Linked DNA regions of Daphnia pulex. The protein of the gene in region 1 binds, or shares a complex with, the protein of each later gene. Links are inferred from orthologs where the notes say so. Each region holds a gene or a part of one and is shown on either strand. Other genes may lie near its edges. The genes, in order: probable cleavage and polyadenylation specificity factor subunit 2, cleavage and polyadenylation specificity factor 73-like and cleavage and polyadenylation specificity factor subunit 4-like.

Evidence for each region.
Region 2: probable cleavage and polyadenylation specificity factor subunit 2 (region 1) and cleavage and polyadenylation specificity factor 73-like share a complex: the UniProt entries of both Drosophila melanogaster proteins name them as parts of the cleavage and polyadenylation specificity factor (CPSF) complex. The link is inferred for Daphnia pulex from reciprocal best matches to the Drosophila melanogaster genes Cpsf100 and Cpsf73.
Region 3: probable cleavage and polyadenylation specificity factor subunit 2 (region 1) and cleavage and polyadenylation specificity factor subunit 4-like share a complex: the UniProt entries of both Drosophila melanogaster proteins name them as parts of the cleavage and polyadenylation specificity factor (CPSF) complex. The link is inferred for Daphnia pulex from reciprocal best matches to the Drosophila melanogaster genes Cpsf100 and Clp.

The regions. Positions count from the first base shown.
Region 1 is NC_060028.1:937,497-942,822, forward strand, and holds the start of probable cleavage and polyadenylation specificity factor subunit 2, read right to left. Parts: upstream 2,804-5,326; 5' UTR 2,668-2,803; coding exon 2,345-2,667; intron 2,285-2,344; coding exon 2,193-2,284; intron 2,132-2,192; coding exon 1,630-2,131; intron 1,571-1,629; coding exon 1,323-1,570; intron 1,254-1,322; coding exon 913-1,253; intron 844-912; coding exon 639-843; intron 572-638; coding exon 402-571; intron 335-401; coding exon 245-334; intron 176-244; coding exon 38-175; intron 1-37. Other genes in the region: distal membrane-arm assembly complex protein 2-like, read left to right, coding at 2,981-3,560, 3,625-3,944; signal recognition particle 54 kDa protein-like, read right to left, coding at 4,470-4,475, 4,549-4,600, 4,826-4,928, 4,997-5,114, 5,178-5,326. UniProt on the Drosophila melanogaster protein: Component of the cleavage and polyadenylation specificity factor (CPSF) complex that plays a key role in pre-mRNA 3'-end formation, recognizing the AAUAAA signal sequence and interacting with poly(A) polymerase and other factors to bring about cleavage and poly(A) addition.
Region 2 is NC_060024.1:9,772,478-9,777,686, reverse strand, and holds cleavage and polyadenylation specificity factor 73-like, read right to left. Parts: upstream 3,697-5,209; 5' UTR 3,630-3,696; coding exon 3,562-3,629; intron 3,487-3,561; coding exon 3,423-3,486; intron 3,341-3,422; coding exon 3,243-3,340; intron 3,175-3,242; coding exon 3,051-3,174; intron 2,989-3,050; coding exon 2,716-2,988; intron 2,650-2,715; coding exon 2,499-2,649; intron 2,434-2,498; coding exon 2,345-2,433; intron 2,279-2,344; coding exon 2,192-2,278; intron 2,121-2,191; coding exon 1,991-2,120; intron 1,922-1,990; coding exon 1,593-1,921; intron 1,529-1,592; coding exon 1,420-1,528; intron 1,354-1,419; coding exon 1,157-1,353; intron 1,096-1,156; coding exon 970-1,095; intron 913-969; coding exon 790-912; intron 735-789; coding exon 633-734; 3' UTR 587-632; downstream 1-586. Other genes in the region: 3-ketoacyl-CoA thiolase, mitochondrial-like, read left to right, coding at 1-12, 68-339, 399-483. UniProt on the Drosophila melanogaster protein: Component of the cleavage and polyadenylation specificity factor (CPSF) complex that plays a key role in pre-mRNA 3'-end formation, recognizing the AAUAAA signal sequence and interacting with poly(A) polymerase and other factors to bring about cleavage and poly(A) addition.
Region 3 is NC_060027.1:2,524,257-2,529,499, reverse strand, and holds cleavage and polyadenylation specificity factor subunit 4-like, read right to left. Parts: upstream 3,139-5,243; 5' UTR 2,488-3,138; coding exon 2,421-2,487; intron 2,342-2,420; coding exon 2,297-2,341; intron 2,228-2,296; coding exon 2,024-2,227; intron 1,962-2,023; coding exon 1,836-1,961; intron 1,776-1,835; coding exon 1,712-1,775; intron 1,646-1,711; coding exon 1,545-1,645; intron 1,473-1,544; coding exon 1,333-1,472; intron 1,259-1,332; coding exon 1,230-1,258; intron 1,189-1,229; exon of another isoform or gene 1,145-1,188; coding exon 1,087-1,144; 3' UTR 1,012-1,086; downstream 1-1,011. Other genes in the region: uncharacterized protein LOC124207999, read left to right, coding at 1-657, 734-949; E3 ubiquitin-protein ligase SMURF1-like, read left to right, coding at 3,436-3,490, 3,794-3,941, 4,012-4,145, 4,219-4,452, 4,520-5,153, 5,216-5,243. UniProt on the Drosophila melanogaster protein: Component of the cleavage and polyadenylation specificity factor (CPSF) complex that plays a key role in pre-mRNA 3'-end formation, recognizing the AAUAAA signal sequence and interacting with poly(A) polymerase and other factors to bring about cleavage and poly(A) addition.

The DNA.
Region 1 (5,326 bases):
TGATTTGATCACAATTATTAATTATATTAGATCTTACCCTACGCAGTGCAACGTTACCGTTACAACACCAAAGAACACCACCGATAAACTCGGACGAGATACCATTACGCACAAGTACTTGTTTAAAGTCCGATAATTTTAGTTCGTTGATGTACGATGTTTCGTGGCCAGGAATCTAAAACAGATTAAATCATTCAAAATTATTTTCAATTGTTACGTTATTTAAGTATAAAGTATTATTTACATCTTTAGGTTCTAAAGGCTCTAACAGCGGAGCTTGTTCTTTACGGAGCGAATTATTTTCTTTATCGTCCAAGTCCCTCAAGTCCTCTGCCTGTTGAAAGAAAAACAATTACTCCTTATTTTTCCCCAGCAATTTTAAGATTAACTGTAAGATTTACTTGATAAGTTAGCCTTGCATCAATCCAAGCGACTTCAGCATCCTTGGCTTTACCGAATGAAAGTGAAGAAAGTAAAGAGTCTTTCAACCTCACTTGGTAGATGTGACTTTCAATAGTTGCATCTATTGTTTCCCCTTTTCGTGCTATAAATGCTTTATTATCAGATGATCCTTAATAAAAGAAATATCAACAAATTTAGGTTAGCATATTCATTTTCTGCCTTAAAATCAATTTTACCGGTTGAAAGACACAAATTTTGCAGTGCTTGACAGGATTCGGATGATCCCCTGACGACGATGGTTCGTTTCGGTTTCATCGATTCAATCAGTTTGATAATGGATTCACCATCAGATCGTCCTTCGAAATCAATATGCATGATGCTTGCATTGATTGCTAGGGTCGTTGTGGTAGAAATGCACTTGGTAGGGCACTCTGCTTCCGGCTAAACGAAAGAAATGATCATGAGACTCAAAGCGATGCATTGGAAGTTAAAAATGACAAAAAATCATACCTCTTCTTCCCATTTAGGCTTTTCAACCGAATAATCGGCCATTTCGTGATCTTCCGACTCGGCAATGACGTAGTCTTCCGGGCGGATAATTTCGCCATACTCGTCGAATTTGATTTTGTCTTCAAAATATGGGAACATGGTAGGATGTTTCTTGGAACTTTTAAAAAAGTGTTGCACTGCTCCTGTCGTTTTATCGTCGGACCGGACAACAATATCATGTCGGCCTTTCTTGACTTCGTCTTCAGATTCACTAGACTCCGCCGCTATCTGATCTTTTATTTTTATCCCAGATAAAATATTTTTTTCGCGTTCTTTTCTACGGAATTCTTCCAATTCCGCACCTTTAAAAAAAATTAATGGAGTTCTAGATTAGATTTGTTTGTTGCGTCCGCAAAAGCAAATTAGCTTACCCTCTAGTTTGACTCGTTGTTTAAGCTCGAGCGTGACAGATTTCAAGTTACGCTGATCATGTAGCCGCTGGCCCAGCGTTCCTTGTCCTGACCGGCTGGTTAGAATGATAGAGTTTCTTGCATCAGAACACCATAAGGCAAATAAATCCCTGGCGAATCCACACTCCAGATCTGGGCAGCTTGAGAGAACAACTTTTGAGCCAGCAATACGGAGGACTTCTGGCAATGTATGACACAGCTGCAAATATCTAAAGAACAATTTGCTTTAATATTACTTCTAAAACTTTATAAATGCTAGATTGAATACTTGAATCCAAAAGGATTATTCCTGGCCCCTTCAAAGGATTTCATTAATTTATCTGACATCCATTCGATCTGTGACTTGGCGAACTCGTTGACATTATAAGCCACATTGTTCAAAAGAGCCAAACTGTAGGCTCTCAAGCCAGATTCTTGATTTCTCCATAGTTGCTCCAACATATGAGCCAATTCGAGAACTCTTCCAGCCGTATCGACAGCAACAAGGACGTTTCCTCCTCCTCTAAGAGTCTGTAGAATGTTGGTCATGAGCTTTTCGTCACGACTTCGCCTTCTGGGTTGCGCGTAAAGGGTGTTATACGCATCGGTAATGAGAAGAGACGGTCGCTGAATTTTCTCCAACTCACAACCGTTTAAGTGGCGTTCTTTTTTATGATTGTAGTCAACAGCATAAATGATATCTTCTTCTCCATCTTTTACTATTTTCCACACAGTTCCTCCCAACATGTGCCCTGCTGGAAGGGGTGTGATGATCAATCCTTGTCCCTTTCCTGTAAACAAGTAGTAATTTCAGTATGAAAAACTTGAATGAAATATTAGGACTTGTTATACCTTTGAGAGGCACACTTTGGCTGTATTTCAACTGAACAACTTTGTCAAACGAATTGTCAACATCATCCAGAGTGAATAGATCGAAGTCTTCCCTGAATAGATACAAATGTCAGTCATCTTGAATTGAAATTTGAATTAATCAATGTACTTACATGTTGTCTTTGGATTGATACCAATCGTACATAAACATCTGACCCATTTTGTAAACAGGAACTGTTGCATACACTGGACATGTTAGTCCAAGTTTTCCAACTGCATATGGCAAAGCTCCCAAGTGCAGCTGATCAGGATAGGATAGAAGCACTGCATCAATTTTGTTGACATGCTTCTTTAGTTCATGTATAAATCCTTCTGAACACTTTTCATCCCATCCACAGTCCAGCAAGAAAGTGAAATCGTCAACTTTGAGAAGGTACGAATGTGGCGAATCGTCAAGCGCGCCCGAAAGCGCGCAAAACTTGATGATAGACGTCATATTTGTCTACTGCGGATTGTTTATCATGAGTAAATTAGTTGAATTGGATTGTTGTTGACGTGTTCCTCTATTAATCATGTAGGAACATATCGCATTCTCAATAACCGAAATTGGAATGTCTGCTTGGTTTCATCCTACGATGCCTGATATCTTTATTCAAAGAATAAATGGGATTGGCCAGATTAGTGTATCATGCAATGCTGCTCGTCTAGCAGACAATTTCTTTCACAAAATTCACAATAAAAACTCGTTAAAAAGTCCAGCTGTGTGTATAGTGAGTGTTATCGGTACAGTAACTAGAAAAAATAAATCCATGGCAATGTCTTATTCTCGTTTAACTCAACTGAGGCTATCGCTTAAACATTTCCGAAGATCATGTACCAGTACATCGAACACAAGACCGACGGCCGGTATATCTCAAATTGCCAAACTAGGTAATGACAAGGCAGAGGTGGAGAAAAAGAAGGAAGAAGAGGATCGCGTAACATATGAACTCCCCAAAGCAATGTATGCTGAAAACAAGAAAACCGTCTTTCAGTTATTCTCCAGTCAAAAGAACTATGCAATTGAAGTAATCAGTGTTCTTAACGCGATCGAATTCTCGCCGTATGGAGTTAAAAAAGCGTGGAGTGATTGGAAGGAAGATAAGCTCGTTAGATCACAGTTGTACGTCAAAGAAAGAGCAGAGTTTCTTGGCCCAGAAATAGCCACTGGTCATTTTATTTGTTTTCGAGGTGGCAAAGTTCGCTTTTATGGCCATAAAGACTGGATTGTCGAAGACCCTGATTCGGATATCATACCGAATTTACCCAGATTTTACTTGGAATCTTATAAAATGGAAGCTGTTGACTGTTCAAAAATGACTCTTGTCTATGAAGGATTGGAAAACATGAGTATATTAATATCCTGTTTCATGAAAAAATGTAAACCAACACATAACCTTGACATTTCTTTTAGAAAACATGGAGAAGCTCAAATGGTTGAGCCTGGAGTCGTGTCCCCGTATTGACGATTGGTGCCTGGACAGGATTTCCGGCGAATTTTGTGACACGTTGGAATATCTGGATATTCGAAACTGTCCACTGGTGACAGATAAAGGTATCGCTTCATTAAGTAAGATGAAGAAACTGAAAACTCTTCTGGTTGGCGGTCACCCGGAAGCTAAAAATCTTGAACTTGTATGCCTCATGCTTGAGGACGTTTTGCCTGAATTAACCATCCGAGGTATTCTTTATTGCGATGAGTCTTTATTGACAAATGACGAGGCCCACGAGTAAAATGTAAAGTTCTTTCAACAGTCATTTGCCGATTTTTGTTCTTGAGGAATTATTATGAATCAATACATAAATGTTAATGTTTATTCCATCTTTTAACTGGGAAAAAAAGACATGAAGGCTAATATGAACGGGTTGGGTGTTTTTTTTTTTCTCTCCAAATCGCAAAAGAATTGAATCAAGAAGAAAAATATTGAACGTAGTTACGAAAAGATGAAGAGGACCGAATTTACATGACACAATTTTAGCGGACTTGGCGAACTCTTAAACAATATTTGGATTAAGGACGGGGTCACACATAATTTGTTATTGATTATTTTTTTTTTTTCATTTATTCAATTCCCAAATAATAACCATTAATGTTGTTCAGGGTTTATTTATAACTACTTGGAAACATACAATTATGACCCCCTGAAACCCACGTTCTTAAAAAAATTAACCAGTATACTATAGATGGAGGGGTAAGAGGACTATCTAATTTTAACCCAGTTGTTGTAGCCACGGTTTCTCGCAGCTCTGCAAAGATGTTCATTCCTAGCAATCAATGAAATAATGGAAGTAAGAAAAAAGTGTCCATGCAATTACGATTAAATCGAATTAATAATACCTTATCCGACGACTCATTTTTACTCGCAATCACCGACTCGATGAAGGTCCGTCTGTGGATACACATAAATATGGATTACAACCTGAAAAACGTCGCGGGAGTGGCGCGTTAAAATTATTTTTGTAAGACTAATCTATGTTTACCAATTGACCTGATTGTAAAATAAACCCACGAATCATGCACAAACAAGATTTGTCTGGAATCGACAAGCCATCAACTTGACACACCCAATGACGACATCACAACACTTGAACAGTATTCCAATCACACAACTTACTTGGAGCCGAGTACGCTGAGTTGTGGTTGATCAGGGATATCTTCATCATTTAGAATTTGCAGAATACGACTGGCTTCAGCATGTGGATCATCATTCAAAATTTCTAAAGCAAAAAAACATTTTTAAAATATTTAACAAGTTCACAATTAATAAATAGCTATGACGTCTTACCAATCGTTCTTTTTTCAATGTGTTCTTCGAACTTTTTTTCGCGTTCCATATCTTCTGGGACAGGTTTAGGCGCTGCTGGAAAAGTAATCAATACTATGCTCATGTTATCTCGGCTTCCCTAAAAATAGAAAATTCATTGGTGATGACTCAAAAATGGCGGAAATGCACAATTTGTTTTTACTTTGAAGAGGCAATGGTCGACGACAGCAGAGCAGACTTTGGTCAAATCATCTGTGATGGTTAATTGATGACGAATGAATTGGCATAAGTCGTCGTTTGTCATCACGTCCCAGATTCCATCACAAGCAAGTACGAGGAACTGATCTTCTT
Region 2 (5,209 bases), on another chromosome or scaffold:
TTGGCTCGTTTGGTATACAAAATCTTTACACTTTTAATGAATACATCATTAATTGTTTTATTTGTAGGTTGGTTATGGTATTGCTGGTGTTGAACCCACTATCATGGGAATCGGACCAGCACCTGCCATTCGTAAAGTATTGGCTAAAGCTAATTTGCAGCTGAAGGATATTGGTGCAGTTGAAATCAACGAAGCCTTCGCGGCTCAGACTATTGCTTGCCAACGTGAACTTGATTTGGATCCTGAAGTCCTTAACGTCAATGGTGGTGCCATCGCTCTTGGTCATCCTCTTGGAGCTTCCGGCTCGCGCATTACCGCGCATTTGGTTCACGAATTGGGGTAATTAATTTTCTTTGATGCGTTGAACCATATGCTAATTATTTTACTTTTATCATTAGACGTCGCAAACTGAAATATGCTATCGGATCGGCTTGTATTGGTGGTGGTCAAGGAGTAGCTCTTCTTCTTGAGGGCATGAATTAATCGGTTGTTACTTCGTGCGGGGCAATATTAGTGCGAAGACTTTGATTTTTAAGAAATCACAATCCAGTAACAATGCAAAAAATATATGGATGGATTATAAAAATACTTTAGCAGTTGTTTATTCTTCCATTATTAAATATCAATACAAGTTATTTTACTTTTTCTGCTTTTGGTGCCAAAGATTGATATAATTTAAGTACAGCCGTTTGAACCACTTGTTGAAATCCAACATCTTCAGGACATTCCACCTCCTTTAATAAAAAAGAATTTAGATTTTTATAAGAAAACGGTAATTTTAGACGTTACCAATGCTGTGAGATCTATATTGGCTCTTTTTCCGTCAACGGTAACAATGAATTTATCTCCTTTGAACATTTTTGGAACCGCATCATCTCCAAACATATCTTGAAGCATTTCTATCAAGCATTCCTATATAAATTCACACGTTTAGACCGATATTATTCTCAAACAAATAAAATTTAGTACCTTGAAGCGGGCATGATCAACAGTCGTGGGTAGCACAATCGTCCTCGAACCTTGAAGAGATTCGCACTTTAAGATAGCTGAAAGCACTGCGTCAGCGAACATGTCGTTCACAGAATCAGCCGCCCACTAAACAAATCAAATATTAAACATTAAAGAAGTGGTCTTCACAAATCATTAAGATGCGTACTTCTAATGTAACCAGAGTTTTATCAACAATGACATCAATGGCAGAGAAAAGGCGAAATGTTTTTAGTCCTTTGTCGCTCTCGATAACTTCGACGTCAGGCGAAACGTGAGACAGGACAGCTTGTAACGTTTGCAGATTCCCGCTGTAGTGGATACCCATCCTTTGAGTTACGCTGCTTACAGTCATGTCTGTGTATTCTGCAATTCAAAAAAATTGGGTACTAAAGTTATAGAAATTAAGACTTGAATAAAAATTGTTGGTACTCGAAATATCCGACGGCGCCACAATTTGGTATTTGAAGTTTCGTTTGACCAAGACACCAGAAATGATTTGGCCTTCGACTGGTTTTTCAAACGCCAGAGATCCCATCACCTAGACAACAAGGCGTTAGAATAAAATTCATTGGGTGAATCGCTTTTACGATTTTTTAAATTACTTTGGCCGTTTTTTCGCCCTTGAAATGGAGTTCTACTGCCGCAGTGTTACGTGGATTGTATATACGGATTTGAGTGTCTGGATCATGTTCATACTCTCGGATGAGCGCCGCTTTGAGTCGGTTCATCTCGTTGGCCTCGCCGTGAACCAAAACGACATGAGGTGGCTTCAGCAAACGAATAAATTCACTGGTCTGTTGGTAGTCAGTGTGAGCGGAGAATGAAATGTAGTCAACTGAAAGCTTCATTGGTAGCTTCTGGCCAGCCATGCTGGTAATATCTTCCGGTTCTGACAAAACATGTTTTGCCAATGTTCCTTCAACACAGTACCCTTTTACGACAACAAAAATAAACGTGAACAACTAATTATATAAAAATTAAAACATTTCTTTCCACTGACCTGCGATGATGCAACCGTTTTTAGGATCTGTGCACCAAGCTTCGAAGAGTTCGCGAGATAGACCACTCTGCATCATACCGGGAGAGGCCATAATTACACAAGGGCCAACGTCTTCGAACTGATCGATACCCTGGGGAATGACAATACATTGCGTTGAATAAAGGACCATTTTATAACAGGTTATTTCAAATATTATTGTACCTTGAGACTAGAGATGTGCTTGAAGATGAAAGGATTATTGATGGCAATCTGCCGCCGAATTTTGTCGTTCATGGCATTGATATAAGTCTGCAAGAATAGAGAACCAATTAAAGTTTGATGCGATCGCTGCGAGATTTTGAATTTGATTAGTACCTGGTACACGGCCATACACTTTTGTGCAAGCGACGAGGCATAGTAGATGGGAATCTCGTGAAGTTCGGGATGCAGGCTCCAATATTCATCTAAAAGCCAATTAAAACTGATTGGAAGTTTTCTTATGCAAAAAATTACTTCTAATACCTAATACCTAGAATGAGAAGCAATTCTTGTGCTCGACCCAGTGCAAAGACCGGGATCAGACATCTGCCACCTCTATTGACAATTTCGTGGATCAGACCTGTGAAACGGCTTTCTCGATCTTCGCGCTTCTCGTGGATGTGAGTTCCGTAAGTGGATTCCTTCGAGAATAAAACAGATTATCACATGGACATATTTCGCCTTGAAATACTTCAAGCTTAACTCACGGTGATTAGGATATCGGGTCGAACAGTAGGAATCTCAGCGGCCATCAAATGTCTGTCTTCCTGTCGGGAAAAGTCCCCAGTGTAAAGCACTTTCACGCCGGCAATTTCAATCATGAACATAGCGGCGCCCAGAACATGGCCTGCGTTGTAAGCCCAGAAACGAACTCCACCAACATCCTTCTCTTCGTGAAAGTTGATAACTTCAATCTTTTCCATGGATGCCTCCAGATCTGCCTCTGTGTAGAGCATTTGATCTGTGGAAATGTTGCTGACCTGTTGGAAATATTACTTGTGAGCACTGCATCGACTAAAACTCAAATGCCTTTTTTTCTTACTTTAATATAATCAGAGAGCAGCCAACGGTAAATTGCTTTTGTGGCATGTGTCATGAAGCACCGTCCCTTGAATGTTGTTTTCTGTAAAAACCATGGAAGTGCCCCACAGTGATCCAAATGGAAACTATTGAAAAATACAATTGTACATTAGCTATTGACAATAAAACTTAAGAAAACAAAACCAAAACTCACTGTGAAATGAGTAACAAGTCAATTTGATCTGCTTCAATCAAATCAACGAAAGGCAGTGCATCCATTCCCGATAAACCTGGATGAATTCCACAATCCAGCTAGAAAATGAAAAACATAATCAATGAAATGCCCACATTCAATGGCGATTCAACTCTGTACAACAAAAACACGTTTGTTTACCATGATTTTCTTGCCCTTGAATTCGAGCATGATACATGATCGACCAACTTCTTGTCCGGCTCCCCTGAAAAGTAATGTAATAAAAAACACCCGTGAATTTTCCAAATACAAATTAAAAGTCAATTGACATTATATTTACAATGGCCTAATAACCAATAAATCACTTTCTTCGGCCGGGACCTGTACGTCATTTTTACGTTTAGCCATTTTGTCTTTTGTTTTTCTTGGGTCTACAAGCTGTTGCCAGGTAAACTTTTATGTCCACTCCGCGAGTTGACACATCACATCCGCTTTCGCCTTTTTTACTTTGATAAAATCATAAAAATATTACGTAGTATACATTTATTAATTATGCAATCTACGCCGTGAAGTTTTATGGCATTTAGAATTTGATATATTTTTTCGGGGTCGATGATTTAAGATATTAACGGACTGACGGCGTTTTTACTATTCAATCTCGACTTTTTTGTCCACGGGTTTTAAAATTCGTGAAACTCTACTCGATTTGAGAAATGGTGGCATAAATAACCGATGATTATGCGTGGGAATGAAGCACCTGCACCGAAAGCTACACACGAGATGGTTTCAAGTCTCTGCCAAGAGTGGCGGAGTCTAAAAGAAGCAGCGATCCCAGATGAGGTAAAAATGTAGACCCAAAAAGCGACCGGCAAACTGTTCGTTCGTGAAATGTCAAGAAGATTCTCCTTTTATAACTTTTGATTATATCAACTTCACCATTTGGTCTTTCTGCAGTAACTCGTCAAGCTCGTACACACACACGGTGTAGCTATAGGTTGGGCCGAGTTTCCATGAAGTTTTACTAGGATGCATGTAACATGATTGTTTCATGAATCACGATTATGAACCTCCAGTGCATCGAGCACGGTATATGTGGGCCAGGTATACATATACATGTGTGTGTGTAAGCTATAAAGTTCACGTTTGTCTCCCTGCAGTTGACAATAAATTTTGGCGAAAAATATCCAGCGAAAAAACAAGACATTGAAACGCATTTCCTACGTGACAGCACATTATTCGCTGATACGGAAAACAATTGAACGTGGGAGCTGTGTCGAGTGTGGGTAGTTTTTTCCTATTAAATATCAAAGCGTCTTCATAATTTCTTAGTGCAAACGCACACACACACCCACACCTGCACACAGACACACGGTTGCGTGCAAGCAAGCAATCGCACCGCAGGCTCCGCGAGCGGATTTCTCGGCTGATTCTAATTGCATAACATTTGTCTGGCCGATTTGAGAGAGTCATCGCCGTCTTTATCGAACCTTGGCGCACATCCCTCCGGACAGAATAAACGTGTATATAAATAAACTTGCTGCTCTATTGGATAGACGTATATACAAGGAGAAGAAGGAACCTGTTCCGTTTCCCACTATTACGAATTCACCTGCCTTTAACGCGGCCGTCCGTCCGTCCGGAGATGCCTCGTGCCAGAAGACTGTCAGTCGGTTGTCATGGCGGCGTATAGATGTGAACACACCTGTCCTTCTACACGAGATCACTATCATCCGCTCATCCGGAAATTAAAAGTTAAAAAAAAGTTTTTATCAAAAAGAACGTTCGAAATCGATTGGAAATTTCGAGGAAATTTCAAATCTTTGAAAAAGTGAACAAAACTGTCAACAGCATTGAAAGTGAATAATACAGTATAGCACGCATACGTCATCTCTCTGGCTGCCTTTTGGAGAGAGAGAGATTTCCAAAACGTTGGAGAGAGCCGATTCCGGATGATAATATTTTCCAGCCCCCCCCATATTTATATAAGC
Region 3 (5,243 bases), on another chromosome or scaffold:
TACCAACACGCACAAAAAGAAAACCTCTACAATTACAATCCACCAGCACCTGTCACTTCTTATTTGGGACCTCATGAAATGTATCCAAGTTCCTTCCCCTTTCAAATGATGTACCAGCAGTACGCGAAACCGGCCTACAACTATTCTCTCTCTGCTGAACAAAAAGAAATCTATCTGCCCAAGACTCTTCCCGTGGAAGAACCGACATCGATTCCTGTTAACTATCAAACTAGATCCCTCGAACCGAAGTCGATTATTGAAGGACAAGGCATCCCAGAAACTTTCGACGTCTGGAACAACTCATTCGTTCGTGAGATGAAGAGCATACCAAAGTTTGACAGTCTATTGGATATTGATCGCTTGGAGCAGCTTTGCTACGATGACGTAGATAACTGTCCGAGTAGCAGCACTACTGTCGAAAGATCGAAAGACAATCGAGTAAACAAGTTGAAAGAAGAGAGAAACGTTCCTACTTCTGTTAAAGAAATGTTTGGTGGAAACTATGATCGAATGCCGGAAAAGACTGCACCTTCAAAAATAACAAACAATCCTCAATATTTCACGTCTGGATCATCACCGGTTGGAGCTAGGCCAAAAGAGTCCGCAGCCGCCCAAGTTAATGGTAGAGCCGCTAGACAACATTTAAATTCTGCAAAGGTAGTCAATGGCATTTATACAATTTGGAAATCTAGTGGCGTGTGAGTAAAAGCCTTTTAACCTTGGTAATTTTCAGTTCAATGGATGGGAGTGCCTGTTTTGCACTTTTCTGAATCCCGACGATCGAGAAATTTGCGACATGTGTTCCAAGTCGAGACACAAGGGCCCTGAGAGCCAGCCTCTGTTCCGCGGAGGACGTGAATGCTCCAATTGCACTTTGGTGAACGCACCAGAAGCAGAGAAATGTGCTGCCTGCTCCACCTCACTCACAAATGCCCCTACCTACATCTAAAGATTCCTCACACAAAAACCGTTCTACTACTAAAAATAATTATATACTAGTGTTCTGACTCCTTTTTTTTTAGAGAGATTTCAAAATTGTATTTATTGAATGGACAGAGACAGTGTTGGAAATGAATGTAATTTTCGTTAACTTCTTTCTTCTGTTGGCTGGTTACTCAAGAAAGCCAGATGTCCTTTGTTACACCTGTTTGAAATAAAAATTACAGCATGAGTGATATTACATTGAAATGCCCCAAAACGACTAATTCATTAATATAAATTCATCTTACCGATTTGCATAGTGGCCGCGCAGTCCACACTATTAACAACAAAAAGATAAGTGAATAAGGGTAATTTCAAAAATCGCGAATGTGAACAAATAAATTCTTTTACTCTATAACAGGTGACTTCATCTAAAGGTCTCAAATTCGTTCGATCTCTCTGGGCTTGGGAAGCGTTATTTGCATGAGTAGAGGCATCGGCGGGCGTGCGGTAAATGTCCTTAGATTCTGATGGAATTTTCGGACATTGAGCTACGAAAAACAAAATGAAATCAATTTGGGACGAAAAACTTGTATTATGTAATTCAAGGTTAGGATTCTTACCAGCTTTATGTCCCACTTCTCCACAGAAATGGCAGACTAGAGGCATCTTTCTCTTGTCACCCTTGATATCATCTGGAAGTGGAGGTAATTCAAATCTCGGACTAAGAAAGAAATTCACAGTTATTTTCACCAACTGACAATAATATTACGAGTTATTTTGTTCTTACTGGACGAATTTGCATTCGGGGCCGTCGGGACAGAAGCCTGCTGTGTAGTTCATGCAGAGCACACCTGAAACATTAAAGCAATATTTAAAATGATTCTTTCACGAAACGATAAAAATGTTATTACGTCGAACATGACGGTGTCGGCAAGTCGGTCCGTGACGGCAGAAACCACGATCATACCAAGGGCAATCTTTGATCTTTGTTTCAGGGTCAATGTGTAAGAAAGGGCATTCTTTGTTGTGACAAGCACCTGGGAGAAAGAAAAAAACATTAAAACTGTTTTATCAAATCAACTCTAGATATGGAACTCACTGAATCTGGCGTAGAAATAACACTCTGGCATCTTAGCCATATCAAATTCATGGAGAAATTCACACTGATCTCCTTTCTTGCATAGTCCTCTGAGCCAATGTTTACATACAATTGTCCGGTCTGCTCTGAGGTGTCTGTATGGGCAAAAACTTGCTCTCTGGCATTGACCTTTAGTGAATAGAGTGCACACCATTGCCGTTGATTCTGAAGAATTAAAAGACCCAAACATTATTAGAAGTCGAAACCATGTGCACATGCATTTAATTCACTTACTGTCCATTCCGGGAAATGGGAGATTTTGGGCTCCCAGCTGTTGCTCTATAAATACAAATATTGGTTCATTAGTTTCATTCAAATTGAAATATGGTGATGATATCAGATCTTGATTCTCTCTTACCCAAGGCAACTTCAATATCAAATTTGATATTGGCAATAGGCGCCATTACGGTATCCATGGTGCCCATTTTTAATTTTAATAGTTATAGTAAAATTCCTGCTGAAAACGATTTAATTTACCCATGCACCAAGCAACATGTACACCAACTTTTGCTTATTTTGCTTTTGACACAAATTTAGAGGAAGGGTAGCCGGGCTACCGCAGGTGAGACTAAACGGCATCTTTAGTTATATTCTTTTACGCTTTTAGAACGTTTCATAACAAAACTAAATTTAGAAATTTTGTAGATCGGAATTCAGCTTTTTATGTAATGGGAATTTTTAGCTTTTAAAGTTTAGTAAACAGTACCGCAAAGAAATGAGGATGGCAATTGATTTTGTGTGCGGTCATCTAGGCCTACACATCATTGCACAGATTGCACTTATTCGGACTCGTGTCTTTGTGTAAAGGTTTACTATTCAAATGAATTGAAATATCAGCAATTGTCTTTTCAAAAATTATCTTAATAGAACAATACTGCTAGTGCTACAGAAAGAACGCCGAGCTCCGCTCACTAGACGAAAAAACCGCAAAGATAAGCTTATCTGTAATTCTTCTCATTTCTCAAGTAAATCGCTAGACTTGGAATTATTTCAGAGAATTCGAGGGTGAGGAAGGAATTTCGTTGTTTGGTCAAAACAAACAAACAAGGTCGAGAATCACGAGACAGAAGTTTGCTTGTTTTGATTTTATTGCGTTTCGCCTCTGCTTATTATTTACAGTAGCTGCCTGGTGGTTCCGCTAGAGGGCCAGTTTTCCATTGCTCGCTGACATGGCTGCCTAAAAAGTGTACCGAGTCCCGTTTTGGACTGCAAAACAAATTGATTTTGACAAAGGATTTCTGTTCTTGTTATATATTTAGACTTACTTAAATGCATGGTTTAAGCCGCACGTGACTTTTTATTATTCTCGATGTCTGAAGTGTAATCTCAGTTCTGTGTTACGATTGGGAGGAGAGTTTGCCTGTTCGCCAGCAATGTCCCACACAGGGATCAATAGGAGAAATGGGGCCATTAAGATTCGACTCACAAGTAAGTGTTTTTTATTTTCTCTTTTGTTTTGATGTTGGGCCAATTTTTCAATCGTGTGCCACAAACGGAATTTTCATTGATTCCTCCTCGGTGAAGCAACATTCCTGGGCTGGTTTTCTCTCATTCCAGGCTTTATTTTATCTGATACCCTGTTTCCTGTCTTTGTAGAAAGGGTAAACTTCCTCTTGCCCCCAGGGGTGGGTTGAGATGGAGGGGAGAGGATTAGTAATGAAATAACAAGTCTTGATGGTATGACCGTGTCTTATTGATGTTTATCTCTTTCTGTCTCTCTCAAACCACCAGTACTGTGCGCCAAGAATCTCGCAAAGAAGGATCTGTTCCGTTTGCCTGACCCATTTGCCAAAGTCAGTGTTGAGGGATCGGGCCAATGTCACAGCACAGACACCTGCAAGTCTTCGTTGGACCCAAAGTGGAACCAGCACTTTGACCTGTAAGTCATCATCACCACCAGACAATTCAACTCTTCAACGCCTGACTGTTTTTTCTCTCTTTTCCCACAGGTACATTGGCAAGTCAGATGCGATAACCATCAGTGTTTGGAACCACAAGAAGATTCACAAGAAGGAAGGTGGCGGATTCCTTGGTTGTGTTCGAATCATGTCCAATGCCATTCAACGCCTGAAAGACACAGGATGTAATGCCAAATAATTCTGTCTTGTGAATGTCCACCTCTAAATTCTTCGTCTCTTTGTTTGTTTGTTTTTCAGATCAACGTCTTGACTTGACGCGCGCGAACGCCAACGACACCGATCAAGTGAAGGGACAAATAGTTATTTCCTTGCTGTCTAGAGAACAGCACAATTCGTCAAGCTGTCACGAGAACAGTGCAACTCCCGTCGTCCAAACCGTTGTGGACGCTCTGGGAAATGTTGCCAGCCCTGCGTCACCTGCAGGCATTCAAGAAGCTGCCACGGCTTCAGTCACCTCTCCCCTTCCGCAGGGTAAATTAAACAACAACAACTTGATGACTTTGAAAATTTTATTGACAAATGTCTTCATAATGGGCAGGTTGGGAGGAAAGGAGGACATCCAGTGGCCGTAGGTATTACGTGAATCCGGAATCGAGAAGTAGTCAATGGACCAGGCCCATCGTGGAGAGTAGCAGCGGGGCTCAGGCCAGCAGCAGCGGCGGCAGCTCAGTTTCGGCCAGCAATGGTCGAGAAAGCAGACGCAGTCACAGTAGCAGAGAACGTGATAAGCGACATCCAGCGGTTCCGGTTCAACAAAGTCACAGTCTGGATGCGGTGTCGTCGTCCAACTCTTCCGGATCGTCTTTCAGAAGACGATCTGTCCGCCATCGGCAACCGCAACAACAACAACAACAGCCATCAACCCAGCAGCAGCAACAGCAACAGCAGTCGAGACGGCCCTTGGCCAACGATTTGCCGGATGGCTACGAAATGCGTAAAACCGGCCAGGGTCAGGTTTACTTTTATCACGTGACGACCGGCATCAGTACGTGGTACGATCCGCGAATCCCACGAGACCTCCGCGATCTTCCCATGCCCGGCGCTCTGCCCCCTGGCTGGGAAATGCGTCACACTCCTTCGGGCAGGATTTATTTCGTGGACCACAATAACCGGACGACGCAATTCACCGACCCTCGTCTCTCTACGGGACTGGCCTTGCAAAATCTCCTCAAGTAAATTATTTCAAATAATAAAATTGACGTCCTTTTTTTTTAATCACGTGAATTTTTTCCAGTCTCCACCGGTCAGACCATCGTGCAGCC